Canis lupus familiaris: one gene and its partners. The protein of the gene in region 2 interacts with the protein of the main gene of each other region in a pairwise test. Links are inferred from orthologs where the notes say so. Each region holds a gene or a part of one and is shown on either strand. Other genes may lie near its edges.

What was found. The genes of interacting proteins can lie anywhere in the genome.
Region 1: the proteins of DISC1 (region 2) and AGTPBP1 interact in a two-hybrid assay, tested with the Homo sapiens proteins (2 studies listed by BioGRID and IntAct). The link is inferred for Canis lupus familiaris from reciprocal best matches to the Homo sapiens genes DISC1 and AGTPBP1.
Region 3: the proteins of DISC1 (region 2) and OLFM1 interact in binary tests that used the Homo sapiens proteins (3 or more experiments, as listed by UniProt). The link is inferred for Canis lupus familiaris from reciprocal best matches to the Homo sapiens genes DISC1 and OLFM1.
Region 4: the proteins of DISC1 (region 2) and PPP5C interact in a two-hybrid assay, tested with the Homo sapiens proteins (2 studies listed by BioGRID and IntAct). The link is inferred for Canis lupus familiaris from reciprocal best matches to the Homo sapiens genes DISC1 and PPP5C.
Region 5: the proteins of DISC1 (region 2) and FRYL interact in a two-hybrid assay, tested with the Homo sapiens proteins (2 studies listed by BioGRID and IntAct). The link is inferred for Canis lupus familiaris from reciprocal best matches to the Homo sapiens genes DISC1 and FRYL.
Region 6: the proteins of DISC1 (region 2) and KCNQ5 interact in a two-hybrid assay, tested with the Homo sapiens proteins (2 studies listed by BioGRID and IntAct). The link is inferred for Canis lupus familiaris from reciprocal best matches to the Homo sapiens genes DISC1 and KCNQ5.

Annotation. Positions count from the first base shown.
Region 1 is NC_049222.1:74,592,078-74,597,108, forward strand, and holds part of AGTPBP1 (cytosolic carboxypeptidase 1), read left to right. Parts: intron 1-1,090; coding exon 1,091-1,220; intron 1,221-2,105; coding exon 2,106-2,237; intron 2,238-4,588; coding exon 4,589-4,765; intron 4,766-5,031. UniProt on the Homo sapiens protein: Metallocarboxypeptidase that mediates protein deglutamylation of tubulin and non-tubulin target proteins.
Region 2 is NC_049225.1:8,246,256-8,251,742, reverse strand, and holds the start of DISC1 (disrupted in schizophrenia 1 protein), read left to right. Parts: upstream 1-1,844; 5' UTR 1,845-1,864; coding exon 1,865-1,922; intron 1,923-5,487. UniProt on the Homo sapiens protein: Involved in the regulation of multiple aspects of embryonic and adult neurogenesis. Required for neural progenitor proliferation in the ventrical/subventrical zone during embryonic brain development and in the adult dentate gyrus of the hippocampus.
Region 3 is NC_049230.1:51,049,993-51,055,023, forward strand, and holds part of OLFM1 (noelin), read left to right. Parts: intron 1-1,685; coding exon 1,686-1,841; intron 1,842-3,264; coding exon of another isoform or gene 3,265-3,270; exon of another isoform or gene 3,271-3,593; intron 3,594-3,776; coding exon 3,777-3,996; intron 3,997-5,031. UniProt on the Homo sapiens protein: Contributes to the regulation of axonal growth in the embryonic and adult central nervous system by inhibiting interactions between RTN4R and LINGO1. Inhibits RTN4R-mediated axon growth cone collapse.
Region 4 is NC_049222.1:110,161,418-110,166,448, forward strand, and holds part of PPP5C (serine/threonine-protein phosphatase 5), read right to left. Parts: intron 4,634-5,031; coding exon 4,512-4,633; intron 3,690-4,511; coding exon 3,624-3,689; intron 3,307-3,623; coding exon 3,208-3,306; intron 2,399-3,207; coding exon 2,293-2,398; intron 1,550-2,292; coding exon 1,407-1,549; intron 1,259-1,406; coding exon 1,171-1,258; intron 355-1,170; coding exon 314-354; intron 224-313; coding exon 45-223; intron 1-44. UniProt on the Homo sapiens protein: Serine/threonine-protein phosphatase that dephosphorylates a myriad of proteins involved in different signaling pathways including the kinases CSNK1E, ASK1/MAP3K5, PRKDC and RAF1, the nuclear receptors NR3C1, PPARG, ESR1 and ESR2, SMAD proteins and TAU/MAPT.
Region 5 is NC_049234.1:45,000,048-45,004,758, reverse strand, and holds the end of FRYL (protein furry homolog-like), read left to right. Parts: intron 1-855; coding exon 856-1,046; intron 1,047-1,348; coding exon 1,349-1,607; 3' UTR 1,608-3,473; downstream 3,474-4,711. UniProt on the Homo sapiens protein: Plays a key role in maintaining the integrity of polarized cell extensions during morphogenesis, regulates the actin cytoskeleton and plays a key role in patterning sensory neuron dendritic fields by promoting avoidance between homologous dendrites as well as by limiting dendritic branching.
Region 6 is NC_049233.1:35,492,759-35,497,789, forward strand, and holds part of KCNQ5 (potassium voltage-gated channel subfamily KQT member 5), read left to right. Parts: intron 1-3,927; coding exon 3,928-4,103; intron 4,104-4,792; coding exon 4,793-4,918; intron 4,919-5,031. UniProt on the Homo sapiens protein: Pore-forming subunit of the voltage-gated potassium (Kv) channel broadly expressed in brain and involved in the regulation of neuronal excitability.

The DNA.
Region 1 (5,031 bases), on a different chromosome or scaffold from region 2:
GTTTCTGAACAATGGTAATTTGGTTTTGCTGTCATGAATATCTGCAAATCTGAGGATACCAAATTTTATTCAATAAAGGTAGCATGGATATTTCTCACATTTTAGGAACTTTTTTAATGAAAAAGCTAGAATAATTTCTTTTTAGGAAGTGTGTTATGGAATTAAAATGAGATTTTTATGTCTTGTTTTAATTCACGAACATACTCACCAGTTGGAATTCTGTTTATATTTCCTTTACCACCTTCTGATAGTTTGTTTACACTTTTGCTCAGTTGCTTTTAATACTTCATACTTGCAATTAAATGAAAATATATTTGATTTTTGCAAGAATGTAGATTTTTCTTATGCTTCTCTTTCTTAAGAGGGCCCAGCCCAGATAGCACTTTTTCTTTTCTTTTTTTTTTTAAAGTAGGCTCCAGTGCAGCCTGGAGCCCAACGCTGAGCCCGAACTCACAACCCTGAGATGAAGACCCAAACTAAGATCAAGAGTCAGACACTTAACCGACTGTGCCATCCAGGCACCTCCCAGATACCACATTTACATAACTAATACAGTCAAAGTACAGGATGTTAATATATAACAAATGATTATTACATAGTCGGAATAAAAAATGTGACCATTAATAAATTTTATAGAGCCTGGAATAAGACTCCAGAATTGAGAATTAATTTTTTTCTTTTTTTTAAATTTTATTTATTTATTTGAGAGAAAACAAATGTGTGTGCCTGTGTGAGCAGAGAGAGGGGCAGAAGGAGAGGGAGAGAGTATCCCTGCTGATGCCTGACTCGATCTTATGACCCTGAGATCATGACCCGAACTGAAATCAACAAGAGTGAGAGGCTCAACAGACTGAGCCACCCAGGCACTCCTACTTTTTTTTTTCTGTAGCTTGAAAATGTTGACCTAAATATCTGAAAGTCTATTAGCACAGTTAAATGCATGAAACACAAAATCTACATAAAGCAAATAATAAGTTTTTATTTAATGACTAATATATTTACTGTTAAGTAGTTCTCAACTGAAAATCATAAAATTAAGTCAAATATATGTAAGAGTTTATTGTTGTGGTTGTGTTTTACATATGTGTAGTCACCGCTGTTCTTTAAGTGGAGAGGATTTGAATAGACAATGGCAAAGTCCAAATCCAGATTTACATCCTACAATTTACCATGCTAAGGGGCTGCTACAATACCTGGCTGCTGTGAAACATTTACCACTGGTAAGTATTTGTACTTTGTCTAGTTAAAGAAATGATTTTGTTAATTAAGACTCAGTATTTTAATTAAGACTCAGTATCATTTAAAGAAATGATTTTGTTAAGTCTATTAATTTTTTAATTTTATGGTTATAAAAGTGTTCGTTTTAAAGGCAATTTCTTTAAAATATCTTCTGTTATCAATTACGTAATATCAGTATATAATGATGTCAAATTAATACAATGTATCCATATTCTTATTTCATCAGGTTTAATTTTTATAGTTGCCAGGAGCCCTTTACTTAACTTTCTTATGCATATTGTGTATATATGCTGCTTCTGTATTCAGCAGCTTTTGTGTATAATGTTCCCATTATATTATTGTTTAAATGAGGTAATCTTCCTTTGGGAAAGATAGGAAAACTTTAGAGAAGGAACAGCATTGATATATAAGCCTGTTCTTCATTATTCATTTTAAAAATAATGCTCTTAAAAATTAAATTGAAACCATATCTTTTTTTAGATAGTGTTTTTGAGAGCATTTTCATGTTCTTTCAAATTAAGTAAATGTTTTAATAATCCTTGGATCAGTGATGATTGCTGCTGTAAATTTGACCTATAATTGAATTTTATTTTTTTAAGTGGTGAATAGTAGATACATAAGAAAGGAGGAGCTCGTGGTGGGTTGATGCAGGCTCTAGAAAGGATTTAGCCATTCTGGAATTAATCATAGATCCTTTTCAGAACTAGATATTATTACTTTTATTAGTTCTACTTGTTAAATGGTGGCTCAGTTACAATATAAAGGACAAAGAAACACAGACCTCTACTAATTGTCTTGATATTAACTAGCTTTATTTGGAAATATGTGAATTTGAAGTTTTTTAATTTTTAAAATATATTTTCAAGGTTTATTGTGATTATCATGGCCATTCCCGAAAGAAGAATGTATTTATGTATGGCTGCAGCATCAAAGAGACAGTATGGCATACCAACGATAATGCCACTTCATGTGATGTTGTGGAAGATGGAGGATACAGGGTAATTATTACCCACAAGTCTGGAGTTTTTGGATTTCAAACATGCAAAGCTCTATAGAAAAATAACATGCACGAACTTGTCAGATTCAGCAAGTGTTGCCATTTTGCCATTTTTTTGTTTCAGATTTTTTCATGTTAAACATTCTAAAATTTTTGCTTTTCATATTTAGATTTTTAATCTATTGGGAATTTATTTTTGTACAAGGGCTTGGGATCTAATTTTAGCTTCCCCATATATAGCCGGTTGTCTCAGCACCATTTATTCAACAGTACCTCCTTCCTGTGCTGATTTATGAAGCCATCTGTTACATACCATGTTTCCATGCATCTGGGTGTATTTTGAGGCATGCCCAGGACTGAAAGGAGATCTTGCTGTCTCACATCCTGGGTGTTTTCTGTTCAGGCACAGTGGTTTTCCTACTGTATTTGTGCTTCAACAAAGCACCTCAGGTTATTTTCCCAAAAAAGTTTTAGTAGCATACCACTGCTATGAGCAGAAACTCAAGGGCCATTTTCTTTCTGGTGTCCTCTCTCTTCTTCCCCTTTCCCAAGTAAATAAAATGATTAGAGTTCTATAAAAAATGGGAACTCCAAAAAAAAAAAAAAATGGGAACTCCAAAAACAAAACACAGTAAGTGAAAGGCATCATCTCTCAGTCACTAATCATTTATTTCTACCATATTTTTTGTGAGACTTGGCTCTAAGCACATTTGTTCTTAAGTATATATACATGTAGTGTATGAAGTTCTGTTTTTTTTTTTTTTAATTTTTATTTATTTATGATAGTCACACAGAGAGAGAGAGAGAGGCAGAGACATAGGCAGAAGGAGAAGCAGGCTCCATGCACCGAGAGCCCGACGTGGGATTCGATCCCGGGTCTCCAGGATCGCGCCCTGGGCCAAAGGCAGGCGCCAAACCGCTGCGCCACCCAGGGATCCCTGAAGTTCTGTTTTTAATCTGCCACCACAGCCAGTGTGCATTGCTGTTCATTTTTATCACTGTACAGATGTACCAAAATGTATTTATTTAGTCGTCTGACCTGTTAGTGGTTGTTTAATTAGTATTGCCAGTTTGCCCTACATAAAGATTGTATACTGCCCTATGTAATGACTGGCAGTGCTGTTTCCCATCCTTAGGACATCATGCTGCCACCTGGGGCAGGTAACTGTCTGTTTTAATTTGCATATCTGTAATTATAAATGAGGTTGAGTATTTCTTCATATGTTTGCCCAATTATGACCCCTCCCTCTCTTTTAAGAGCATTTTCTTTTCTTTTTTTTTTTTTTTTTTTTAGAAAGGAGCATTTTCTCCTATTCTCTGTTTACTTTTATACTGGTCCTCTAATTATTACTGTTTTTAAGACAACAAATACATTAAAAAATGTTTTTGTTTATGTATGGTAATTTAAAACTTGTATCAAAAAAAACCCAACAACCTTGCATCATATTTGTTAATTTCTTTTTCTTTTTCTTTTTTTTTTTTTAATGACTTTTGGGTTTGAGGTTTAGGAAGACTTCTCATCCCAGGATTTAAAAAATGAAGTTCCATGTTTACTGTTTTTAATTTCATTTTGAAATTTTACTCCTTATGAGTTTAAATTCTCAGTCCAATTAGAATTGAACTTAACTAAAGAGTGTGGCTTATTTCTCTCAGTGGCTCTGCAGTGATGCCAGCAGTGAGAGAGTGATCAGTTTTCTCCCCACTAATAATTCTAATTTTAACATCTGCCTTTGGTTCTAATTCTGAATTCTTTCTGGAAATGTATCTACTCCTACACAGTATTACAATTTAACTTCCCCTACATATATAATTAGGTTAATATCTGTTGGATTCTTTTCTCTAGTCAAAGCTTCTCTCAAAGTGCCCCTGGCTGTGTCCTCATGCTTACACATTCCAGGTGAACCTGAGAATGATAGGAAGTTGAAAAAAATGTCATGGGCATGTTGATTGTGATTATCTTAGGTCTATTGGTTAATTAGAGGTTATTGATATTTATAATGTTAAATCTCTTAACAGGTCCTCTTTCATGACTAAAGTTGCTTTGTTTTTTAAACATGGGTTTTATTTTCATCTTTTTAAACATTTTTTAGAATAGGTTTTGTTCATTTATTGGTTGCTACTGTGAAAGTGATCCTTTTTTCCATTCTAACTGATTACTGTTCGTCTTGGAAAATAGAAAATTCTAAATTAGTAAAGAATTATTTTAATGCTTAGAATAGGCGGGGACAAAGCAAGAAGATCCACATGGCCCTGCTCTAATCACTGTGCTTTCATGAAAATTTTTTAAAATGAAAAAAAATTATTATTTAAAAAAAACCTTCTTGAAATATTTTATCATTCTTATCTTTGCAGACTTTACCTAAGATACTGAGCCATATTGCCCCAGCATTTTGCATGAGCAGCTGTAGCTTTGTAGTAGAAAAATCTAAGGAATCCACAGCACGTGTTGTAGTTTGGAGGGAGATAGGAGTACAAAGAAGCTATACCATGGAAAGTACTTTATGTGGCTGCGATCAGGGAAAATATAAGGTAAAACATTACAGGATTTCAAGTAGTAAAAATTATTTAATGGACTTCCCTTTCATATAGTATACTGGGGGTTTTCAAATATATATCAAATGATACATTTGTTATACTGAGTTATATATAGTTTGCAAGAATGGAATTGAATCATACACAATTATTTTTTACTTCTCTGTACTTAAATAGCTTGCTTTGGGCCTTTATGAAATCTTGGATGAGCCCATCTAAATTCATAATTTTTAAGAAGGCATGTTGTGGTACATATTTAAATA
Region 2 (5,487 bases):
TCAAGTCTGGGAATTGATTGAAGGTCTGAGTCCCTCTGTTTTAACTTGGAAGCAAGTTAAGCTTTTGTTCCCTTGACCTAGAACTTTTCCGCTTAACAGATCAAGTAAGAATTTAGTAGACTTCTCATCTATTTGACTTCAGGGAACACCATGATCAAATATACCCACCTTGCCGATGGTGATTGATTGCCACCATTGGCTCCTGCCGCCCTCAGATCCAGTTAACCCCATTGCACTGAAGGGTCCCAGTTCAGTGGTTGCAATTCCCACTGTAATTTCTGACCCACAGAGAAGAATGACCAAGGATACTGGGTCGCAAAGCTATTTACCGGAGTCATGGTGACAGGTGTGTCCTCAAGACCCTCCCAGAGAGCAGCTTTTACACGATAATTTCATTCCAATATTCCAATCTCCCTAAGCGCTTGGGTAGTTCCTTTACAGTATTCCAAGACAAGTCTGGCATCGCCACCTCTAGCATTTAATGTAGATCACCTCTTGGTCCATGTTTAAGTCAACTAACCGAACAAAAAGTGAGATGCCCTTCTAATCTCTCAAACTAAATCACTGACTCCAGATCTCCATTTAGTGGTCTATATCATTAAATCCAGCCTGATCCAACTTTGTGTTCCTTCCACTGTTTTCCCACATTCCTTAATATCCATATTCATAGTCATCCTGTCCCCAAACATGCTGGCTTTCAAGCGCATCTGTGTTTGCACCCACAGGGGTTTTATCTTTTATTTTATTTTAAAAAAGATTTTATTTATTTATTTATTTATTTATTTATTTATTTATTTATTTATTATATATTTATTTATTATTTATTTATTTATTTATTTATTCATTCATTCATTCATGAGAGACACAGAGACATAGGCAGAGGGAGAAGCAGGCTCGCCGCATAGATTCCGATGCGGGACTCAATCCCAGGATTCTGGGACCACACCCTGAGCCAAAGGCAGAGACACTCAACCACTGAGCCACCCAGGCGTCCCGGGGTCTTATCTTTTCAAGCATCTTGGCGCTCTATTTCTAGCCAGATCCTTCCCTTTCCTCCAGAAAGGCTTCCTGACACTTTAAATACTCTCTTAGCCCTCGAATTCTGCAACATTTTTTAATGCCAACCAAGCCTCTGGCTCTCGGCATGTATATTGTTAGTTAGTTTTATACGCAGATGTTTATGTTCCCCCCTGGAGGTGAGGTCCTTAAGGACAAGAACCATTTCTGGCAGGTGCTATATGGGGTGGGGGAGGGGGTGGGGGTGGGGGTGGGGAGGTGCTCCAGCAGCCTCCTAGGTTGAACCAAAAGGAAGGGGTGAAGGACATCAGTCAGGGGCCCTAAGAGCTCCACCAGGGCCACAGCCTGCCTGCTGGGCCGGGGGCCAACGTGGGGAGGGGCTCTGGGACCAGTCACTGCTGCCAGAAGAGTCAGAAAGTTGGATTCCCATCTCTGAGCAACTGCTCTGGCATCTCTCTGCCGTGTGGCCTGTCCTCGTCCCGCCTCCCCGCCCCCACCTCCTGCGTCTCTTGCACCGACCCCTCGGCCACTTCCCTACGGCGACGTCGGGGAGGCGCCCGCGCAGAGCGCACCCCGACGGCCGCCGTCTCCCCTGCACACGCGCCCTCCCCGCGCGGCTCCCCTCGGCTCGCCCTCGCCCTCGCCCTCGCCCTCGCCCTCGCCCTCGCCCTCGCCCTCGCCCGGGGGAAGCGCTGGGGGCCCCGCCGCGCGGCCGCCTCGCCGCGGAGGAAGGCGCCTCCCCTTCGGCGTCGCCCCCCGCCCCCGCCCCACTTCCCGTCCAGCGCGCGGTCGCTTCCCCTCCGCGGGCCTGTCCGCCGCCCGGGAGCCGCGGGAGCCGCTGGGGCGCATGCTGGGCGCGGGAGCCCGAGGCGCGCCGGCCGGAGGCGGCGGGGGCCCGCGCGCAGGTAGGGGCGCGGCGGGGGCGGCGGGGAGTCCGGGCGGGGAGTCCGGGCGGGGAGTCCCGGCGGGGCCGTAGGGGCGGGGCTGCGCCTCCGCCACCACCTGGGCTCACGCGCCGCTGCGAGGCGGGGGCGACCGAGGCAGGGCGCGGGGCGCGCGGGCAGGAGAGGCTGGGTCCGGTCCCAGCCGCCCCCGCCCCCGCCCCCTGCGAGCCGGCGGGTCCCGCGGCGGGCTCGGGCTTGGGCCGGCGCCCGCGACTCTCGGGGTCCAGCGGCCGGGACCCGGGCGGAGGGCGGCGGCGGCGGCGGCGGCGGCGCGGGGCGCGGGCACCTCCCGAGGCGCTGCCCCGAGAGCGCTGCCGCCTCCCGCTTCCCACCGCGCCGCCCGGACGCGGGTCCCGCCGCCACCCCCGGTCAACACCCAGGGCTGGGACGGCTCGTCGCTGTCAGCAATGAGGGGGCGCGGCCGTCGCACTGTTCGGCACCTGCGGCGGATGCAGGACTTCCCTCGCAGGGAACCGGGTTTGGAGTCGCGGTGCCCCGGGGTGTGTCCCTGCTGCGCCGGGAGGGGGCCGGGGACTCCGGACGCTTCCCCCGCCTCTTGGAACCTGGGTTTCCTCAAATGGAGGAGGGCTCGCTCCTGACCCTAACGTGTGCTCGGTTAGACACATGAGGCTCGGATAGGGACAGTCCCAAGAGCTGGGAGTTGGAGACAGTCCAGCCTGGACTCGCTCACTCCTCAGTCTACCCATTTGTAAAGTGGGGGCAGTGTCCGTGCCTCCCTCCTAGGTTATGCGGTTTCAATGTGGCAGTGAATCTGGAGCGCGGACTCCAGTGCCTGAGATACACAGTGCGCTCTGAATAACCTTAGTTCCTGTTTTTACTGAGCGAAACCTAAATAATTTGGAGTGATGTGGAAATACCAATTTGATTTGATTAACGTATAAATAGCAGAGCATTTATTTACTTATTTAAGATTTTATTTATTTATTCATGACAGACACACAGAGGAGACAGAGACACAGGCAGAGGGAGAAGCGGACTCCCTGCAGGGAGCCTGATGCGGGACTCGATCCCAGAACCCTGGGGAACCCAGCCAAAGGCAGACGCTCAACCACTGAGCCACCCAGGCGTTCCTATTTTATTAAAAAAAAATTATTAATTATTTTAGAGAGGGGAAAGGACAGGACAGTGAAAGGGAGAGAATCTCAAGTAGACTCCTTACTGAATGGAGCTGGATGGGGGCTCCATTTCGTGATCGCCCCAGATAGTGACCTGAGCTGAAATCAAGAGTCAGATGCTTAATCGACTGAGCCATCCAGGTCCCCCAGTAATGGAGTATTTTAAAAGAAACTTAATTTTATTTCATCCAGACACGGCCTCCGAAGGCTTTTTGAGGTTTTGTTGTAAATCAGTGCTACTGACCAAAAAGAGCCTGGATCTGCTTTCTGTGCTCTGTAACCTTGGGCCTCAGTTTCCTCATCTGTTTAAAAAAAAGACCAAAGACAAGAAAGGTAGGGGTAGCAATTAGTGCTTTTGGTGCTGATAGAGCTGCCTGAAGATCAAATGGGGTAGAAGATCTGAAAGTGCCTCGAAGAGTGTGAGTCACTACGCAAATATAAGACGTGACTGCTACTAGCAGGGAATAATAACATCTGCAATTTTTTAGAGCCTATAATGTGCCAGGCACTCTCAGGAATTCCTTTGATGAAATCCATCCTGAACCTTTGTGCATTGGATATTTATAATCTTCATTTTCTCTATTCAAAGCTGAGATTCAGGATTATTTTGCCTCTTTCCCAAGGTCACGTAGCAGTTTATGTAAAGCCACGATTAGAACCCTAGGGTGGGTGCCTCTGGCAAATGTGTTCTCAACCACTGGCAAAACTGAAGTTATGGAGACAAGCCGTGGTTCAGAGTAGACCTGTGTTAGATTATAGGAGATAATATATATCCTAACATGTTTAAAGAATCTGAGGGACACCTGACTGGCTCAGTCAGTAGAGCAGGTGACTCTTGATCTTAAGGTTGTGAGTTCAAGCCCCATATTGGGCATAGAGATTACTTAAAAAAAAAAAAAACATTAAAAAATAATTTCACTACATACATAAGTGTATATACTCATGAGTGAATTGTTAGCCCTGGCAGATGAGGTTTTGAAATAAACTTAATTTTTTTCATCCCTATTTTAAAATCCCATTTAAACTATTTTCTTGCACAAATAATGAAAATTTGCAGAGGGAAAAAGCATTAAGATCTTGAAAGACATATCTCGAGGATTCATTGCAAAGCTCAGACAATAAATGAAATCTCAAAAATGTTTTACTTAAACATTTAAGTTTGCCAGAACTCTTAAGGTGGCACAAGAGGTGTAAATTGGTATTGAAGCTTGCAGCGTCACGATTATCGTGCAGGGGTGGGACCCTGTATATTTCTCTAGGGACTTTACTGCTCACCTGAGATGCCCCCAGAGGGAAATGGACCTTTAGAGAAAGTCTGTGCATCCGAGGGAGAGTGAATGCCAGGTCTGTCTGCTGCAGAAACCATTCCAAAATCATTTCTTTCCCAAATGAAATTTATCTTATTATTTTTTCTTCTTCCAAAAGCACTACACAGTCATCACAGAAAGCACAGAAAACAACAAACAAGAAAAAGAACATTAAAAATCACTATGATCCCATCAATGCAGGCAAATAGCTTCACATCTCTGTTCTTGTAACCCATTTCTGTGTTTTGTTAATCAATTTAAATGTCTTAAGACTGGGATGCAAACTATTATTGTTTTGTTCAATGACAAAAGTAATACTTGCTCATTACTCAATCATCAAGACATTAATTTGGGAAATAAGTAAAGATTTATTACGTGCATTAAAACTTTTCCTTTAAAATGATCTTAAAGATTTGATTGGAAAATGATTAGAAATTAAGTTGTTGATGTCTGAGTTTTATTGTGGTTTTGGCCAAAGTTCAATGAAAGACCTTCAGAACAAAGAGAGGGTACAGTGGTGATCTTGAAATAGTAAGATCTAAAAATCCAGTATCAAGCAAAGATTTTGAGTATAAAAATAGGTAACATTTTAAACTAATGTTATTAGAATTAGACTCATTGTTTTGATAATCATGATAATAATCAGTTTATAAGCTGGGTTCTCATACAAAGTGAGCAGAGAGCCCTGCTTCCAGACATTTTTGGCAGCCACTCCTAGGGGTGGGGACAGTCGCCTCTGGCACAGCCTAGACCACTTGTGGCCATTTTTCAGCCAGCACCATTTAGTAACATAAGACTTTTAGCCTTTGGGAGTCTTATGTTGTTTGTTCTTGATGTTAATGACTTTGTGGTAAAAATTCCTTAGTGAATGTCTTGTGCAACAATCCTGCAATTTTTAAAGCGCCTGCCACAGATACTTTGACCATCCTGAATCCATTTTTTCTTTTGAAATCAGTTTACCAGCTGCTTATTTGAGCGGACTGCAATCAGTTTCCAAGTTTTCACAGCAAGTGGAAGAACTGTGGCTGACCAATGAATATTATATATATATTTGGCTTTGAAAGGCAGTCAGGAGCCTACATG
Region 3 (5,031 bases), on a different chromosome or scaffold from region 2:
AGGCCATGGGCTGCGGCTGTAGGAGTGAATAAAGCCCCAGTCCCCTCCTGCTCCATGTTTCCTGTCCAGCAACGTGGTTGAGACAGATGTGTGGGTCACTGCTGGGCAGGCATTGTGCCAACAAGGTGATGCTCTTTCCGAGTGGTATGCAGCTGCTTCTGGCTTGGCACATCATGGAAGCCTCTCTGGAGGAGGTGACGTTTGGCTGGGCTGTGCTTTGAAATATGAAGGGAACCAAAAGTCACAAATGTTCTCAAAGGAAGTCCTGCGGGTCATTCGCTGTGACGGAACCAGACAGGTGCGGGGGGGAGGGGCAGGGAGATAGAAAGTAATAGAACAAATATTTTCCAGGTCCCCATAAAACGACTCAAGAGACAGGATCAGAGCACGTCAGAGTCACCCACGTGTTGTATTTTACATACCTGGATTTTTAAACTGGATTTGTGTGTCACTTTTAAATAACGAGCCATAAAAATCCCAGGCATTTTAAAAATGCTGCAATGAGTAATATCGGTTTTTCTCCTACTGAGAAGCCTTTCTTTCGGTTGCGCTCTTACTTTGTTTTATTTGCGGGGGTGGAGGATGTACCGTAAGTGGTAGAAACCGCACTGTCATCTTTTCACTGACCGAGTTGAGCTACGTGTCACACCCAAATGATTCTGTTCCTGAAAGGGAGAGGATTTTCGAAGGCAGCGAGGAACCAGAAATGGAGATTTGCTTGTGCTTGTGAGGGTAGCTGCTTCGTCCCTGGTAATTGGATGAGGTTCTGAGAAATGACCCAAACGCCACCGCGCAATCCTGAGTTCCATCCGCCTCCCCACCGCCCCAAATGCATGTGCTCAGAAGCACCAGCCAGTCTCCCAAAAATAAAATGCATTGGCAGGTGGCTGCATGAAAACTGTTTTCCTTTTAAGCTCTCTGGAATCCTGTTGAATATTAAAGTTCCATCTTGAGGCGAGACTCAATTCAGATCCGCCTGCAAAGATGTAAAACAGCGATTCTTCATTTGCTGGGTGATTGATTCCTGACTCTATGCTCTGAATGTGTGTGTTTGCAGAGCAGTCATCTACCTATGATACCGTGGGGCGTGATGGATGGCGCGCAAGATGGGGACAAGGGTTGATGCACAATCAGGGGGAGCAGTTTCCTCGTAGCCTGGCTCCACGCTCCTGCGATCGAGCTTCATGGCAGGACTCCAGTGAGATTTAGGGGGACAGGGAGCCTCCACCGGGGGTGCAGGGAGCCCGACAGCACTATTCATCCTTGTTGGTTTTTATGCCCACCTAACCCGTTTCATCCTGCAGAATAAAGAGACTGAGACACAATACCATCCCCCGGACAATTAAGGAGGGAAAAAAAAAAGGTCACCCAAAGCCATATACACCTGGAGCTGTGAGCAGGGAGGACCCGGGGCTCCTGTTGCATCCCTGGCTGTGAGAGCAAGCATTCTGGAACATGGCAGAGGAAATGTTTACCAAACCAATTTGCTCTGTTTGGGGAGTTCTTGGTCATAACACTCCCCGACGCTGGTGATTAACTGGTAAATAATGCATGGGCCGCCTCTGGTTCCCAGTGCGTCGGCCGCATGGAAAAAAAGGTCACTGTCATGTATTAAGAGGCAGATATGACGGCAGGCGTGGGCGCCTGTTGCCGCTCCTTTCCTGAACCTGTTGCCTTTTTGGCAGGTGCAAAACATGTCTCAGTCCATAGAGGTCCTGGACAGGCGGACTCAGAGGGACTTGCAGTACGTGGAGAAGATGGAGAACCAAATGAAAGGGCTGGAGTCCAAGTTCAAACAGGTGGAGGAGAGCCATAAGCAACACCTGGCCAGGCAGTTCAAGGTATGTATCCTCCCTCTCCTTGTCCTTTCCTGCCATCCCCTTCCCCTCCAGAAATAGAAACTCGGGGTGGGGGAGGAGCCCTGCAGAAATTGCCCTTTGCCTTGAACGCGGCCTCCATCCTTGGGAACGGAGAGGCGGGCTGCCCTCGCCCTGGTTTGGCAAAAGGGCCCATGAAAGGGATGGTTGGATGGATGGATGGAGCAGTGGTTTTCAGCTCCCGTTAGCTTCTCAGGCTGGGGTCCCAGGACCTGGCTTCTCAAGCCAGTGCACAAATGAGCTGGGAAGGGACACGACTGGTCCTTGTCATTCTGCAGCTGCTGTAGGTAAATCACATTAGCCAAGGATTAACTTAATTGATTAGAGCCATTTCTGAGCAGGGATCACTCAGGGCAATTTTTCACATCTGACCTAATTTAGCTATGACAAGGCACACTGTAGATTTGCAGGGAGGAAAGAGAGAGACACCAACATCTTTCTCACTTCCTGGTAAGTGGTTTTTGTTTTCGTTTTTCTTCTCTCCGGGTAACTCTGGACATTAAGGCCAGAGTTTGACCTAAAATTATATATACATATATAGAAATATGTATATATATATGCCTCTAGTTTGCTCAGCTTCAAAATGATCAAATTGAAAAATTATATGCACCTTAATTAAGGTATACATGCATGTTAATTAGCAATCTAGGCCGGATATAAATGAACAGGTCAAATTACACAGCCCCGCTTGACTAGAAATTGCTGATGCTCTGTCTTCCTGTCCTTTTTATGCTAATGTTTTCCTTTGATGTGCTCCCTGCATGAAGCAAGAACTAATCCGCTTTTAAAAGCGATACATTATATAGACGAAACGGCAGGCTAACGAAGTAATAAATCTATATTATAAATAAAATAATGGCAGGCCTGATCCTCTTGAGGAGCAATGAGCCGATTGCTCACGTTGGAGGCAGGTGAACATGTTGTCCTTGCTTCTGACACGTCATCGTGAATTATCTCGGAGAGAAATTTCGACCCGCCTGACCAAAGAGTTTGTGTCTCTCCCTGAAAGGCCAGCATTCCCTTCGCCATGGTAGATTCCAATTCCTCTGAAGACGGGGGCATCTTTAGCCACCATGGGCTAGCTCGTCTTTGCAGGCACTGTCCACGCAGGCGTCTCTCCCAGTTCCAAAATTTGGGGCCGTATGGCCCCGGGGGAGAAAAAAGCAACCCCTGGCATTTGACCATGCTTTAATTGCATTATGAATTCCACCAGGAACTGTGAGGGAATCTCTATAACCGTTAAAGCCGTTGGTTTGGACTAAATCTGGCAATGAAGTGTGATTTTTTTTTTTAAGTGACCATGAAAATATTTGTCTATGAATGGCTGTCTGTTTAAGGCAGGCTAGTGAGGTAGCTCTTCAACGGTATTTCATTTTCTTGCTTGCAGGGCTAACTTAAAAGAGTTTTTTCAATGCTGCAGTGACTGAAGAAGCAGTCCACTCCCATGTAACCATGAAAGAGGGTCAGAGAGCTTTTGCACCATGCATTTTTACTATTATTTTCCAATACTTAGCACCATATCACTAAGGAACCTTGAACACAACCAGGATCCTCTTTTGCATGCGACTGTAGATGCATTCCATGGATAGTTTGAAACCCTTGTCAATGCATTTTTTGAAAAAGAAAAAAAAAAAAAGAAACTTTGTGTGTGTGACTAAAAGCATGTAACCTTAAGATGTTGCATTCTAAACTGACAATAAAGACCTTTCCCAAATATGTTGGTGTTCTGAAGACTGGTTAATATGCTCTTCTAACTCTCTTGGGCCAGAATACATAAACCCATAAATGAAACAGGAGTGTACACACATGCTCCCTCGCCCGGGGAGAAGCCAGGCCAAGGAAGGGTGTTGCAAGTTTTTGCACGCAGAGCACTGAACCCAGCTTATTTTAACCTTGCAGGCGATAAAAGCGAAAATGGATGAACTTAGGCCTTTGATACCTGTGTTGGAAGAGTACAAGGCCGATGCCAAATTGGTATTGCAATTTAAGGAGGAGGTCCAGAATCTGACGTCAGTGCTTAACGAGCTGCAAGAGGAAATTGGCGCCTATGACTACGATGAACTTCAGAGCAGAGTGTCCAATCTTGAAGAAAGGCTCCGTGCATGCATGCAAAAACTAGGTAGGACCAGAACCCTGCGGGGCCATGGCGCTGCACCTGCCACCTCCGCTGTCGTGCAGGCATAGGGAGTGGTGCTGAAGTTGGACAGCGCCCGCCTGGCTTCTGGGAGGCCCTGGCCGGATTAGGGCTCCTGGGTAGGGCTTCCGCTTAGGAGCGTAGGTGGCACTCACCCTCAGCCACTGACCCACCCCGTGCAAAGGGCAGCTCACCGACCCCATGAAGTCACACATCTGGAAAAAAAAAAGCATTAGACGCCACATACCATCTGTATGTGTGTGTATGTGCGCTTGCACACGTGAGTGCGTGCGTCTGTGTGTGTAGTGGGTGAGTTTAGGACACAAGTTTAATAGGGCTGGAAACATACATCTCGGATTCTCTCCAGGTTGGGAACAAGGGCTGACGAAACTCCCGAGATAGCAGATCATGCGTAGTTTGGATACACAAGGAAAGAAAATCTGGTCACGGCGCCGTAAGAGGACTGGCCATTCACAGCGAGTAAAAGCATTGGTCCATCCCAACAGCTTGGATGGAGGGAGCCTCTGAGTCCATGGGCTCCTGCACCCTGTTGTTGCTTTCTGGGGGACGCCCCCCCCCCCGCCAGATTCTGGGCTGTGTTTGAATTCCCACTCACCTTATCAACATCCCTGTTGGTTGCTTTCACAAATCTTGACTTGTTGGCATCTGAGCCCACTTCTGGCACATTTCAACCTCCAGTCCATTCTTAGATTTTCATGTGAGGACTAGCTGGCACTTCTCACCTCCTGTTTTTTGACACCATGGTTGCTCATGTTCATACTGTATATTTCTTAGGATACCTTGGGGTAATTTTTTGGGTAATTTTCGTTTATGAAGAAGTTGCCCTTAGGTTTTATCTGATATTCTAACTTGATTCCCTCACCTACCCCCACCACCACACACCCCAAATGCCTTCTTATAAACTTAAAATGTCCCAGAGTAGTAAATACTTTTTAAAATCCCTGGTGCCTGAGGTGAAAGGGAGAGAACATCTGAAGGGCAAGGAAGTAGTCGGCCAGC
Region 4 (5,031 bases), on a different chromosome or scaffold from region 2:
GGAGAGAAAAAGAAGCCCAGATCAGCGGAGGAGGTGGGACCCACCAGTAGTTGGGTGCGGAGAAGACTGTGACACAGCGGCCACCGTGCGCCACCTCGTAGCCCTCGGCCTTGACTTCGTGGCTGCGGATGATGTAGTCCAGGTGGTTCTCTTCCAGGAAAGCCTTGGTGACATCAGGGCCAAACTGGCAGCTCACACCCCGCTTGCTGACCGAGCGTCCGTTCTGGGGAGACAGGGTGCTCAGGGTGCTGACCGCCCCACCCTTCTCTGCCCGCAGCCCACACCTGCCGGCCGCAGCCCTGCGCACACTGACCTGCGGCTGTGGGTCTGACCAGAGCAGGTCGCACATGGGACCTGGGGGGGAGGAGAGGGGACGTCAGGGACTGGCCCACCCCACAGCACAGGTGGGGTGGGGGCTGGGCAGGGCATCCCTGAGCAGGGGCATGTGAAATAGGGTTCTGAGCCTCGTGACCTCCCCTTCCTCCAGACCCATTCAATGTATTATGGCCCCACAATGGGAGGAACTTTAAACAGTATAGCTCAGATCACACACCCCTGCTGTTCAAAGCCTGCTGTGGCCCCCACTGCCCTAGGAACAAAGCCCAAGCTCACCACTCAGGCCTGTGAGGCTCTGCGGGGTCTGGCCTCATCAATCCCTTTAACGTACATCCTGGCTTACCCCTAAACCACTGGCCTGCCAGCTGTTCCTCCCACCTGCAAACTCACCCCTGATGTGGGGCCCCCTGTGCTTGCCCCAGACATCTTCTATGTGGCAGGTGTGTCCTTCCCCATGAGTTCTAATGTGGCATCCCTAGAGAGGCCATCCTAACCTCTTCAGGCCCGGGCAGCACTTCCCACAGTTGTGTGCATGTGCATGAGAACGCTCCGTCGGTCCTCACTGCTGGAACAGGAGCCCTGATTTGTCTGTCACTCTCTGGGCTCGGCAGCTGAACTCACAAATGAGTGACCGATGTGTGCTCCCCGTGAACACAAATGCTCCCTCACCAGCCCAGCCCCATGAAGGAGGTGCGGCAATCAGAGGACACAGAGGCTCAGCCTTGCTGTCCTTGCCGAGGGTGTGAAGCCCACCCGGGGCAGGGCCACCCGTTTCTGCTGGAGATGCTGCAGCCCTGGAAAGGAAGGGGCTGCCACTCAGCCCACCCTGGTCACCTGAATCTGGGGGCTGCCGGTTCCGCTCGATCTTCCTGATATCGTCCAGGGTGACGCCGTCCTCACTGAATAAGCCCCCATGCATGATCTGGATGTGGGAGTGACACGGCTGTGTGAGTGGAGGCGCCAGCCACACCCTACCCCTCCAACTTGCTTCACCAGCATATCTGCCTGCGTGTGGCCCCCATGGGTGCGGGGGTGGGAGGAGCCTGAGGGGTCCTATCTGCCACCCTCACCAGTACTTTGCCGTTGATACACTGGGCCAGTGGGAGCCACTCGAACACTTCGCTGAAGAGTTCATACATCTGGGCTGTGTATTTGGCCTTCACCTCTCCCTCGAAGCCATAGATCTGGTTCATGTTGTCCGTCTCGTGGTTGCCTGGCCAGCAGCACAATGAAGAGAAGCTTCAGCATCCCCTGCCTGGGCGCCCCTGGGGCCCACGTCCTGGGACTTAGGGTGACTGCCTGGCAGCCCCAAGCCCACAACATTCACACCTCTGCTTTTTGGCCCTTCACAGAAACCTGACAAGGTGCAGACACTGTTCTCGGTCCCTTTTCTGGAGGGAGAAACAGTCTGAAAAGCACACATCAGGTGTGTGGCCATGAGGTGCAGGCCTGGTTCAGCCTTGGGCTTCATTTTGGAGAAGCCTTGTGCCTTGTAAGCCAGAAGGACCAAGGAGGGGCCTGCTACAGAACACCTATTATGGGCTGGCCTCGTGCTGTGCTTCCAACTTCCCACACACAACCTCATTCTCCCCTCCCGGGTTCCTGGGGCTCAGGGGAGACAGAGAAGCTGCCCAGGCCCCCATGTCTGCTGAGTCTGGATTAGTCAAGTCTTCTGCTAGACCCACCTCTTCACCACCTCCTACAGAGAAGCCCACAGCAGGTGGTTACTGAGCACTTACCGTGTACCAAGTGCTGTTGTGTGAGCCCCCCGAACCTGGCCATGAACCTGGCCACCACTAGTGCTCAGGCCCCTGGGAGCCCCAAGCCCGGCCCACCCTTACCCCCTCCATCTCTCAATGGACAGGACCCCCCCCTCCCCCGGGGCTCCTTGTTCCCTGGCGAGCTCATCCTACACAAGGCCACACTGACCCCAAACCCTGCTGCTGCCCAGCTTACCTCGAAGTAGGTGAAAGTGATCTGGGTACAGGAGCTTAAAGCCAAACAGGGTGAGGATCACTTCTACGGAAAAGGAGCCGCGGTCCACAAAGTCGCCATTAAATATCTGCTCTGCTAAGGAAAACGAGGTGGGGCATGCACTGCCTTCTTCCCCTGCCTTTCCAGGTCCCATGGCTCCCGGTTCTTTCCTAGGAGTGGGGATGTCAGCAAGCCTGGAGGATCTGGGGTGTTCTCTCTGGCCCGGCAGCTGGGCCTATCCGAGCCTCAGCAGGACAGTCCTGAGATCCCCCACCTCACTTGTTTCTCAGGGAAACAGATGGTAGAGGGGGACATGAGGTGGTCAGCTCACTTTGCTCCCCCTCCTTAACCAAATACAAGCCCAAAACCATAGGGGAAATGGAACACAGACCCTCCCACCGCATACTGTGCAGGCCTGGTGGCCCCACACGGTGGCCATTAATCAAGCAATTGTCATAACCTCAGCAAACACTTATACAGCTCTGTGAGGCTCAGAGCCTCAGCTCTTTGCAACCCTCTCAACAATGAGGCAGACTCTACGATCCCCGTTTTTCAAACGAGGAATCTGAGGCACTGAGAGGAGGTATTGCTAACGGTCACACAGCTGGGAAGTGGCGGTGCCTGGTGTTGTTACACATATGATCTTGTGGCAGCCTCATCTGGAGATGAAGAGAGGCTGGGGCCCAGAGAGACTGAGCCACCTGCCCAGGTCACACAGCATGCAGGGAACGAGCCCTGGCCTATCTGGTGCTGGCCGGCCACTCCCACCACATCCTTGTGCCTGAGCAACTGGTCAGGCTTCTCCCTTTGCAGGTCCACGCCTTGCTCTGTGGCAGGAGCGCCTTTCTCAAATCCAGGTGGAGGAAGGGGAGGGTGTGCTTTTCTGAGGAAGGATACATAGGGGTTGGTCTCCGAGGGTAAACCATTGAGCTCAAATATGTTGAGGAGGTCATAGAACTGGCCATGAGTGTCCCCGCACACCGTAATCTTCTCTGTCTGGAAGAAAAGAGGCCACCGGAGAGGGAGGGGCCCAGAGAGAGACGTGGGGAGGGGGCAGAGGTGAGGGGAGAGGCAAGAGGTCACGGGAGACCGAGAAGAGGCATGCAAAAGACACAAGCAGGGGACACAGAAATGGAGAGGGTGGGACAAAGACCAGGAGGGGAGAGGGACATTCAGGGGAGAGGCAGGAGGTGGGGGGAGAGGAAAGGCAGACCAAGCCAGTTGGGTCTGTGAGTTTCTGAGCTCCACAGCCCCTCCCCAGCCAGGGAGCCCCCCACCCCTGGCCAGTCCACACACCACCCAACAGTGCGCACCTCTTTGAGTGTGGTCTCTACGAGCGTGCTCAGCTTGGAGAGGGCCTCTTTGACCTGTACCAGGATCTGGAAGGGAGGGCAGGCTGTGAGCGCAGCCGGTGGGACTGCCTGCTGCCCACTCCGGGTCCCGGAGAGCCTGGGCTGACCAGGAGGCACCACTGAATGCAGGGCAGGGAAAAGTGGGGGCAAACTGGAGAGCACAGAACTCCCCCAAAAATCTGGCTATGGGGCTGAAAATCCGAGTGCTCCCACAGTTCTGGAAGCTGGAGACCTCACAACTTAAAGACATTCCCAGGATGCTACCAGGGCTGAAGGAGAGTCCTGATTCCAGTGTGAAAACACCACGAGTCAGCGGTGACCACCAAGAGCTGCGCCAACTGCAGATTGCCGGGATTCAGCCCCTCACACCAGTGGCCTGACACAAGATGGGGCCGCCATCTTCGGCGGAGAATTCTTACTCAGCTCAGTCTCTACCGTTCTTTTACACAAAATGTCTGGCATACGATTTAAAAAAGGATGAGACGCATGAAGAACAGACAACAGAAGCAGACCCAGAGATGACCCAGATGGTGGAATTACCAGAGACTTTAAAATAACTATGATAAATGTGTAAAAGATCTAGTGGAAAAGACAACGTGCATGAACATATGGGGCAGGGAGATGAAAACTATTAATAAAAATAACTAGATGGAAATGCCAGAAACGAAAATGCAGCATCAGAAATAAAGCCTTCCTCTGCACTGCTCAGCACACTCCCCACTCGGTGGTGCCGGCTGCCGTGGCCACCCTTCTTCTCAACCTGCCCTCCGTGGCTGAGGCTGGGCACTGCCAGCGCTGCGATGCTATTGTGGGGTGACAGGTGTGAGCAGCGCCTGACACAGGCCTTACCTGGTAGGCGCATTTCCGGTGCAGTTTCTTCTGGTCCTTGTACCACTGCATGAGCTCCTTCATGAAGGTGATTGTCACTTTGCCATCCTCGAGCTTGGGCCCACTGTACTCATCCTCAATGGCTGGTGTGCGAATGGAAAGCAGGGGCGAGAGTCAGTGGCCGCAGCCCTCAAGGTGGTGGTGGGGGCAGGGAGGGGAGGCTGGCTCCTGGGCATGGGCGAGAGGCCGAGGGAGGGAGAAGGTCCCTCCCCTGCCCACTCCCTTCTGCTCAGGCCAGCTCTGCTAACCTCTCTGTATAGTGAGCTCCCTCTTCCAGCACCCCTCCCCCCTGCTGCCTACTTGGTTTTATAGCACTTAACACAGTTAATTCATTTGTTTACTTGTTAATCATCTCTCTCCCCACCAGGCCATCAGCTTGATGAGGGCAGAGACTATTTTAATCGCAGCTGTATCCCGCCTAGAACAGGGTTTGGCACCTAGTAGTTATCTGTAGAACGAGTGACTGAATTGTATGAGCACC
Region 5 (4,711 bases), on a different chromosome or scaffold from region 2:
TAGTTCTACTGATGTACATAAGAATCAACAGGTCAAAAACTCTTTGAATGTTGGAAATCATGTAATGAATAGGTTCAAAGGCAGGGACTTTAGTCTTTTATCCCTCCCCTTGTCAGAGCTGGTCCTGAAACGGGAAATGCTTACACTTTTGTTAAATGGTTAAATCAATTTTAAAAATACATACTGGTTTATATAAAATACGTTGGATAAGTAATCTTTTAAAATGTACTTTTCCTTTGATGTTAAAAATTCACAACCTCCCCCCCATAACAGTAAATGATTTTTACTATCCAAGGTGCAACTGGATCACGCTAAAACCAGTATAAACATTGGTTATGACCAGTTTTATTACATCTATCATAACATTTCCCAACATGGGACTCAAACTCACGACTCCAAGATGGAGAGTCACATGCTCCACCAACTGAGCCAGCCAGGCGCTCCTATATCCTTTTACTTTATCAAGAGTATTTGAAGACTACTCTTTGGTAGCCTACCTAATCAAGAACTTGAAATATTAACTGCCTTTAAACCACTAAGTTTAACATTTGCAAATCTTTAAGAGAAACGATGCCTAGGGATGCCTGGGTGGCTTAGCGGTTAAACACCTGCCTTCAGCTCAGGGCATGATCCTGGAGTCCTGGGATCGAGTCCCACGTCGGGCTCCCTGCATGAAGCCTGCCTATGTCTCTGCCTCTCTCTGTGTCTCTCATGAATAAATAAATAAATAATAAAATCTTAAAAAAAAAAAAACGATGCCTATCATCAGATATATCTTTACTGCCAATTAAATGCCCTTTTTGTTACTCGATATACAAATAGATCCTCCTTTCAAGGTATACTGATTTGTTTTAGGTCATCAACATGTCCGAGGAACTTGCCCAACTGGAAAATATCCTCAAAGAAGCAGAGTCGGCTTCAGAAAATGAAGAAATTGACATCTCCAAAGCCGCACAAACTACTATAGAAACTGCCATTCATTCTTTAATTGAAACCTTGAAAAATAAGGAATTTATATCTGCTGTAGCACAAGTAAAAGCTTTCAGGTAAAATGTGAAGGGATTTCCTATCTCTAAACCTAGATTGGGATTTTACAATGACTGGGTTTGGGCTTTAATGTTTCAGTATGTCTTTATGAAAGTATGACTTTGATATTTTCTACAGTTATCACTGAAATGACACCAATTTTAGGTGTCAGGCTTCGTTAATCTGAGTAATACATTTGCTCAAATATCAAAACAGATCTTCAATGATTCACAAGGAAATTTTGCTATAGATATTAATTTAAAATGTACTTACTTTTAATAATTGTTTGAGTCTCAGGACTTAAAAATATTGTGTATTTCAGGTCTCTCTGGCCCAATGATATCTTTGGCAGTTGTGAAGATGACCCCGTGCAGACGCTGTTACACATATATTTCCATCATCAGACACTGGGCCAGACGGGAAGCTTTGCAGTGATAGGCTCTGACCTGGACATGTCAGAAGCCAACTACAAACTGATGGAACTTAATCTAGAAATAAGAGAGTCTCTACGCATAGTGCAATCATACCAGCTTTTAGCACGGGCCAAACCAATTGGAAATTTGGTGAGCACTGGATTCTGAGAAACTTCAGGCATTTAGGGAAGATGACGAAGAACATTAATGGGCACCTTTTATAAACCCTTGCAGTTCACTGATAACTTTTCCTGGCAGCATCCAGAACCAGAGTGTAACTAATGCCAAGCTTTTATCAGATAAAGAACGGCAAAACCCAAGATCTGAAGAAAAGAAATCTAACAGCTGCCAATACCTCCCACAATTAACTGTATGAAGAAGGAATTTTTTAATTACTTAACCCATGTGAAAAAGAAAAGGGCTAAAAGTGATGCATACAAATACATTACTTTCTGGAGAAAGAAGAGAATTCCAAGACTGTTTGCAATAATGGCCTCTAATACTGAGACGTTGGAAAGCAGGTGACATGAGGCTAAAATCCAGGCTCGTTCATTTTAGCTGAAGACCTGCCAAGCTGCCTAGATTTCCAGCAGCCAGAAGCATACTCTACAGCTGACGCTTAATCATCTACATGAAGAACCTTCAGTCGGATAGATATACACAGACTTATTTGCAAAAAAGAAAAAAAAAAAAAAACATTGGATTTTTTTTTTTCCCCAACACGTGGGATAAGGGCGTGGGTGTTTCTGTTTTTTAGTCTGTATAAGGGATTATGTGTGTGTGAGCGGGGATGTGTGAGTATGTGATAGTCCTATTTTCAAGGTATGGATGTTTGGTGATAACATGTCAGAGCATGCCTAAAAGAGCACTGCAAGATTATTTTTGAAGAAATTTTATTTTATTAGATCTAACTCTTCATAGTGTGTAAATGTTAGAACACTTTAATAATATTTTAAAGCTGGGCTTTCCCGGTATTTTGAAAAGAAATAATATATCTGTTAATGTTATTGGAATGCTGCTCAGTTCTCTGATCAGTGCTTACGTTACGATTGTTGATAACTAACCAAAGTAGATGCCTGCAGAGACTTTAAAATGTAAAATAAAGATGTATGCTGCCCGTCAGCTATTCTCATTAGAAAAGTTAACTTATTTTACTCCATAATTATTACAGAAACTGTATAGATGAAAACCAGTATTGTACATTCGTGCAATGCACTGTTCTACAAGAATAGGTATACAAAGCTAAAGAAAAGATCGTGGTCACTGATGGTAGGATACATGACTTGCGGGCTCCGAAGTCCGCAGAATTCAAGAAGAGAGATGCAAACACATTTTTATATGTTTCATTCAGGACTCACGTGTTTCACCCAAAAGGAACCTGGGGCTATGGGGGAAAATGAAAGGAAGCCTGAAGACCGACTACCAAAACACGCAATATACTCACTCCTGTCTCAGCCTGTAGCATAACAATGAACTGGATTCTCTGTCCTTTTTTAAATAGCATTTTGTAAAAGAAATGAATGTAGTCCCACAATTCCTCTGATTTGAAAGGAACACCTTGTATTTTTTATAGGCATCTCTTATCCACTGTGACTTTCTTTTAAACTGGGCTCTGTGATTCCAGAGTTTAGAATGTAGAAATGAAATGCTTAGCTTTGCCTTTTCTTGGGGGTGTGGACCCTGCCAGAAATGTAATTATGCTCAAGTGCATTAATTGAAGGCACTGTGCACGCCGTTGGACTGCTGACTATAGTTATGTTACCTGTAAAATTCCATAACTGGTCACAGCACATTCATAATCACTGTATTTTTTGACCCTGATAAAAAAAAAAAAAAAAAAACAATTATTTTGATGGTGTTCTGGTACTGTAAATGGTGTCCTTTAAATTATTTAATAACTTTTGGGTGTGGGGCAGGAAGAGCGGGATGGTGTCCAGAGACACCCCACACTTTACATCCTACCTTACCATCCCCCTATTTTCTCACCCTCCTTATATCCTTTTTGTTAAAATAAAGAAGCATTGTAGCTGTTGATTTGTGTTGTATTTTAAGGATGAATGATTATAGTGTGCATCATGTAGTGACTTTTCAAATATTGCCCTCATTCTTAAACATAACTCTCCCCAAAAGAACAAAGTTGAGAACAAATTAGGTTGACTAATTACCCAAACCATACCTTTGAACAGTTGAAATTTCCTTTTCTTGTTTATGTAGCTAAGTTGATTAACAAGATGAATGCACCTACAGAAAGCAAAATGCAAATATAAAGGCATTAGGGTTGTCCTTTTGCAATTGAGTTTTCCTAAAACCTATACTAGTTCGCTCCTCTGAATCCAACGTTTGCATTTAACAAAGTATATCAAATGCTTAGTTTATTAAATACCCTACGTAGTTCCACACAGAGCCGTTTGTGCTCACATAGGCCTCTTTCTTTTGCCCATGAGGTTGATCATTTTTTAAATAGTAAGCTTGTGAGACACCCAGTGGCTCAGTGGTTGGCTCAGGGTGTGACCCCGGGGTCCGGGGATCTAGTCAGGCATTGGGCTCCCCGCAGGGAGCCTGCTTCTCCCTCTGCCTGGGTCTCTGCCTCTCTGTGTCTCTCAAGAGTAAGTAAATTAAAATCTTAAGTAAATAAATAGTAAGCTTGTAAAATAACACCCAGAGAAGAGACCTGGCTTTTTCTTTTACACAATTTAGAAAATATTTCCTTTCAGTGATATAGAGGGCGTGGTACAACCTACCATAAGTTTAAGAAATAAACACTCTCTTGGAACAAACTCACCAAAGCCAGTAAGCTTTCCTCATTTAGGTCGTGGAGAACTGCTCCTACACCATGCCTCATAATCTAAATGAAAAGAAGATACTAGAATCAATGTAATCATAATTGCACTTCATGGCATTTAAAAAATTTTTTCCAAGTAATCCACTGTCACCTTAGCAAATGCAGGATATAAAGAACCCAAGAGGGGCCCCTGGGTGGCTCAGGTCTTGATCCCTGGATCGAGTACCCCACCACCCCCTGCTGGGGGCCTGCTTCTCCCTCTGCCTATGTCCCCGCCTCTGTGGGTCTCTCCTGAACAAATAAAAGAATCACTTGATACCCAGAGGTAACAGTGTTCTGGGGGATTTCGTTCTAGTCAAAGTCTCTCTTGCTAAACATACATATTATGTTATACATGGGGCAGCCCCGGTGGCCCAGTGGTTTAGCGCCGCCTGCAGCCCGGAGCGTGATCCTGGAGACCCGGGATGGAGTCCCACGTTGGGCTCCCTGC
Region 6 (5,031 bases), on a different chromosome or scaffold from region 2:
TAATGCCGCAACTTTACTTGATTCATTTATTAGTTCCAATAATGTTTTGGTGGAATCTTTAGTGCTTTCTATATATAATATCATATCATCTCCAAATAATAACAGTTTTATTTCTTCCTTTCCAATTTGGGTATCTTTAATTTCTTTTTCTTGCCTGAGTGCTCTGGCTGAGACTTTAGATACAATGCTGAATAAAAGTGGCAAGATTGGGCATCCTTATTTTATTCCTTATTTTAGAGAGATAGCTCTTATTTTTTTACCATTGACTATGATGCTAGCTATGGGGTTGTCGTATATGGTAAAATAGGTAATGGGGATTATAAGGAGAGCGCTTGTGATCATCACCAGGTGATATATGGAAGTGTTGAATTACTATATTGTACACCTGAAATTAATATTACACTGTATGTTAACTAACTGGAATTTAAATTAAAACTTTTTAAAAATATGCAAATAGAATCCTTTGAGAGAAAGACTGAAATGGGCCTTTCTGCCTATTCCTTCTTCGCTGAGCCCTGGGGTGGTAGCCGCAATGATGCTCACCCCCATTAATAGCTGCTTCTTTGTTTGCTCTAGTCTTGTAGACTAGACTACAAGTCTAGTCTTGTAGTTCAAGACTATTGGCTTTCAGAGCAAGGCGTTTGGAAGTCCTGTCCCTCAAGTAGGAGTTTTAAAATTAGGAGGCTAAATGTGGGTTCAAACCCTAAGCCTCTCAGGGAGAAGCTGGAATTTGGGAGTGACCTCCCATTTGTATGATACTGGACTAGGAGTGAAGTTTAAGGCAAGATTATGTCTTAGCCTTTCCTACTCATTCCAGTATGGGTATTTTCTTATTTACCAAATGTGTAGGAGTCCCTTGGCTAATTTCTGGATTTCCTTCACAGGGAATTAGTCCATGTGCAATGGTTTGTTTGATGACTCTGTGGGAGGAAGGGAGTTCAGTAGCTTCCTATGTCACTATCTTTAAAGACTGCCCCTACCTAATTTTATAAAATGGAAATCTTAGTGATATTTATCACTTTAAAGAATGATAGCTATAATTTATTATGTTGTAATAGAATTCAAGATGGAATTTTGAAGTGATCCCTTGATTAATTTAAGAGTATTTCAGATTCTTATTCTAGTTATTAAAACACTGATATGGTAACAGAACAAAGCTCAAGCTAATCTAACTTGAGTGTTTAATCTCACTTCATTCTATAAATATTTATCAAGTGATTACCATGTTTCAGGCACTGTTGTAAGTACTTAGGCTACAAGTATCCAACCTTGTGGAGCCTCCATTCTATAGCAGACTGCAAAAAAGAGTAAATACACACATAAAAATAAAGAGTAGTCATAACTTCTAAAATATTGGCCTTGGAAATATTCTAGGTGGTACTGACAGCAAAATTCAGTAGAGGACTGTAATCCAACCAGAAACATTTTTGTGACTGTGTTCATTGTTTGCCATTTGGTCGCTCATCTGTGATTTCATTTTACTGAACTCCAACTTTCTCATCTGATCTGAATTACAATGAGGGTGTTAAATCACATCTGTAGTTACCTTTGCATATTTTGTGACTTCAAACACTTAGATTATGATTCACTGTGTGCATAATTTTTTTAATAGTCTCAAACTGGCGGTGTTGCTTTTACTTTGTCTAGGTTTTCTCTAATGAATTAACTTCATAGCTTCATTCTAACTTCATAGTTTGTTTTTTTTTTAACTTCATAGTTTTGTGCAGTAATTTAACAGCTCAGTAGCTGATTCTTCTAAACTAATACAATATGTGCTTTTTGTGCCTCACTTTTCTCATCTGTAAAATGGGATCTGTAGAAGACCTAACCAAAACAGTTGTTATAAGGATGAAATAATTAACATTTGTAAAAAACACAGAACTAAAGAAAGTGCCAGGCATGCAGTAAGTTTTAAGTGCTGTATTTTCTGCATCCCTGCAAGTCATTTACTTATTTCTACTATCTCAAATATTTTAACACAGTAAATCGGATATTGTTCCTTTTTCTTTCCTTTGTACACTTGGAAGGAAGCAGGATTACAATGAGAAATAAAAGCAAATACATATCTAGCAGGGCCATATAAGAAATGTCTTTTTGTCTATAAACCACTTGTCTCAGGAGTAAATCTCTCCAAATGATGCAAATCAAGAGATGTTTTTACACTTAACTCTTTCCTAAAGATTTTCTCTGATTTCAAAAGACATTTTCATTATTATAAAATTCAGTATTACAGAAATTAATAACTTAGAAAGTAAAAAGTCCCTTTACCCACATACTCACCCCACTCTCTACCTCTGGAGAGAATTAATGGTAAGAATCTGTGTATATATACATACAGATATACAGATTATTGTATACATATATACATATTATTGTATATATCTGTATATATTGTGTATATTTACATGTGTTTACATACATATATTGTATATATTTGCATGCATATATATGTATGATTTTCCTAGTCATTTATTTTTTATTAAAATAAGATCACATTGTACATACAGCTTTGCAAGTGCCTTCTTATTCACTTAAAATATGTCTTTGGTGTCTGTGTCAACACATTTAATTCCTTCCCATTTCTAATAGCTGCATAGAGCTATAACTCAAGGATTTGCTTGTGGCTCTCTGTGCCCCTACCCACAAAGTCATATAGTGGTTAGATCTGATTGGAAAAAGCCCTTCAGCTGACCCTTGTACTGACAGCCACTCCAAATCCTGACCAAAAGGGGCACCAGGAGAGTCATTCAAAAGACCTACTCAGTCCACATCCAGAGATGAGACTTCTCTCAGTACAGGAAAAAGAATTGAGCTGGATGATGAATACACATTCATACAGCAGTTAATCCTGAGGATCACAGAAACATTATAAATCCAATGCCCTTGAAGTGGAACTCCTCTCTGGAGTGTGGATGCCCAGTCATGCACAGCCCACTTGGAGCAGGAAAGAAATTTTATTTGAGGATGTTAAGGTCAAGCTAACTTATTTTAAAATTGCCATAGGAGGCCATTCATTCCCACTTTACTTCTCCCACTTCAAAGCCTACTTCCCATCACTCAGATATTTGCCCTTGGAGCAATTAAGTCCCCTTTTATCTTTTCTATGCCTTCATTAGCTGCCCTGTTTCTCTTTCTTAGCTTGCAAAAGGGTAGATATTTTTTACGTCAAATGCCAATACGCCAAACATCAAATATCCATTCCCATGCAATGCACAGTGAAGATAATTAATACTCTGTTGTAATAAATGTACAATTATTTAATTTGTATACCAAACTTACACATAATTGACTGACCAGGTATAAAGAGTACTCTATCCAGAGAGCTTAGAGTGCCCAACTTAGCTGAGGCCTTTGTTAGTATATGAAGTTGCAGACTCCACAACACAAGGGAATTTTTTGCAGAAAGAAGCCACGAGCTTCTTTGGAAAGAAAACAAGAGACATGGTTATACCAAGAAGAACTTTCATAGCCATGCAGGGTAGGATCTCTCTATGGCATTAAGAAGGAAGCCTCCAGGGTAGGGCTGAGGCAGAAGTTCCTTTCTGCCAGACAGGAATGCAAATGAAACCAAGCCTTAGTACTCCCTGGAACTAAGAATACAGCCTTAGAACTCCCTGGAACACTCAACTTTCCAAAGGCCATTGTCCATCCAATTTGTCCAAGGTTACGTAGCAAATGATACAGAATTGCATAGGTAAAGCATACAGTGGCCAAAGAGTCAGAACCAAGGTAATAAGTAGATCCTGTTCTCCGTTCTTTCATTTTTCAATTGTCACAGAGCCCAGGTAGCCACTACTCCAGGCTAGGGTTCAGGATCTGTTTATCTGTGCCTCAGATAGGTCAAAGCGAACCTTTCTGAAACACTATTTTGAGCAACAAAACGTCCAAGTCCTGCTACTTACGGTTATTTCAACCTGTTTCTTTCAGATACCATTGTCCTTATCGCTTCAATAGCAGTTGTTTCTGCAAAAACTCAGGGTAATATTTTTGCAACGTCCGCACTCAGAAGTCTCCGTTTCCTACAGATCCTCCGCATGGTGCGCATGGACCGAAGGGGAGGCACTTGGAAATTACTAGGTTCAGTGGTCTATGCTCACAGCAAAGTAAGGCTTGCTTTCTGAATTATAGAATAAGACTTTAGAAACCTTTTCGTTGATTGCCATGGAATATTTAATGAACCCATCAAGCATACTTAGTCATTTCAGAAATTAGTTAAAGCACAATGTATAATGGATTACTTAAAAGTCACCATATGGTTGCCAGAGGGAAGGAGATTGGGAGAAGAGGCAAAATCAGTGAAGGGGAGAGAAAGAGACAGCGTTACAGTTATGGAATGACTAAGTCACAGGAATGAAAGGCACAGCACAGGGCATCTAGTCAGTGATACTGTAATAGTGATGTGTGGTGACAGATGGCAGTAACACTTGTGGTGAGCACAGCATAACATACAGAGAAATGGAATCAGGATGCTGTACACCTGAAACTAATGTAACTGTGTGTCAACTCTACTCAAATAAAAAAATACTGCTTTCCAAGTCCTCATGCTTCAAATAAATTATAGTAAACCCATGTATTTAGAATACTGTGCAACCATAAAAATAAAAGACTGAGGAAGTGGTTCTGTTCACTGGGACATTCTCTGAATAAAAAAGTAAATTCCATAAATATATATGTATGTATATTTATACATTGTCATAAATATCCGAAAAGTAGAAAAATGAATACATAGATTTTTTTTCCTTTTTCACAGATTTTTTTACCTCTAACAGCTTTTTATTCTTTTTATATCTAGGAATTAATCACAGCTTGGTACATAGGATTTTTGGTTCTTATATTTTCATCTTTCCTTGTCTATCTTGTGGAAAAGGATGCCAATAAAGAGTTTTCTACATATGCAGATGCTCTCTGGTGGGGCACAGTAAGTATAAAAATCTGTTTTTGTTTTTTGGATATTGTGAAATGTTTCCTTTGAATACAGTGTAATGATTTCTATGAATCATTTATGAAAGGTCTCAATAAAAACATTAACTT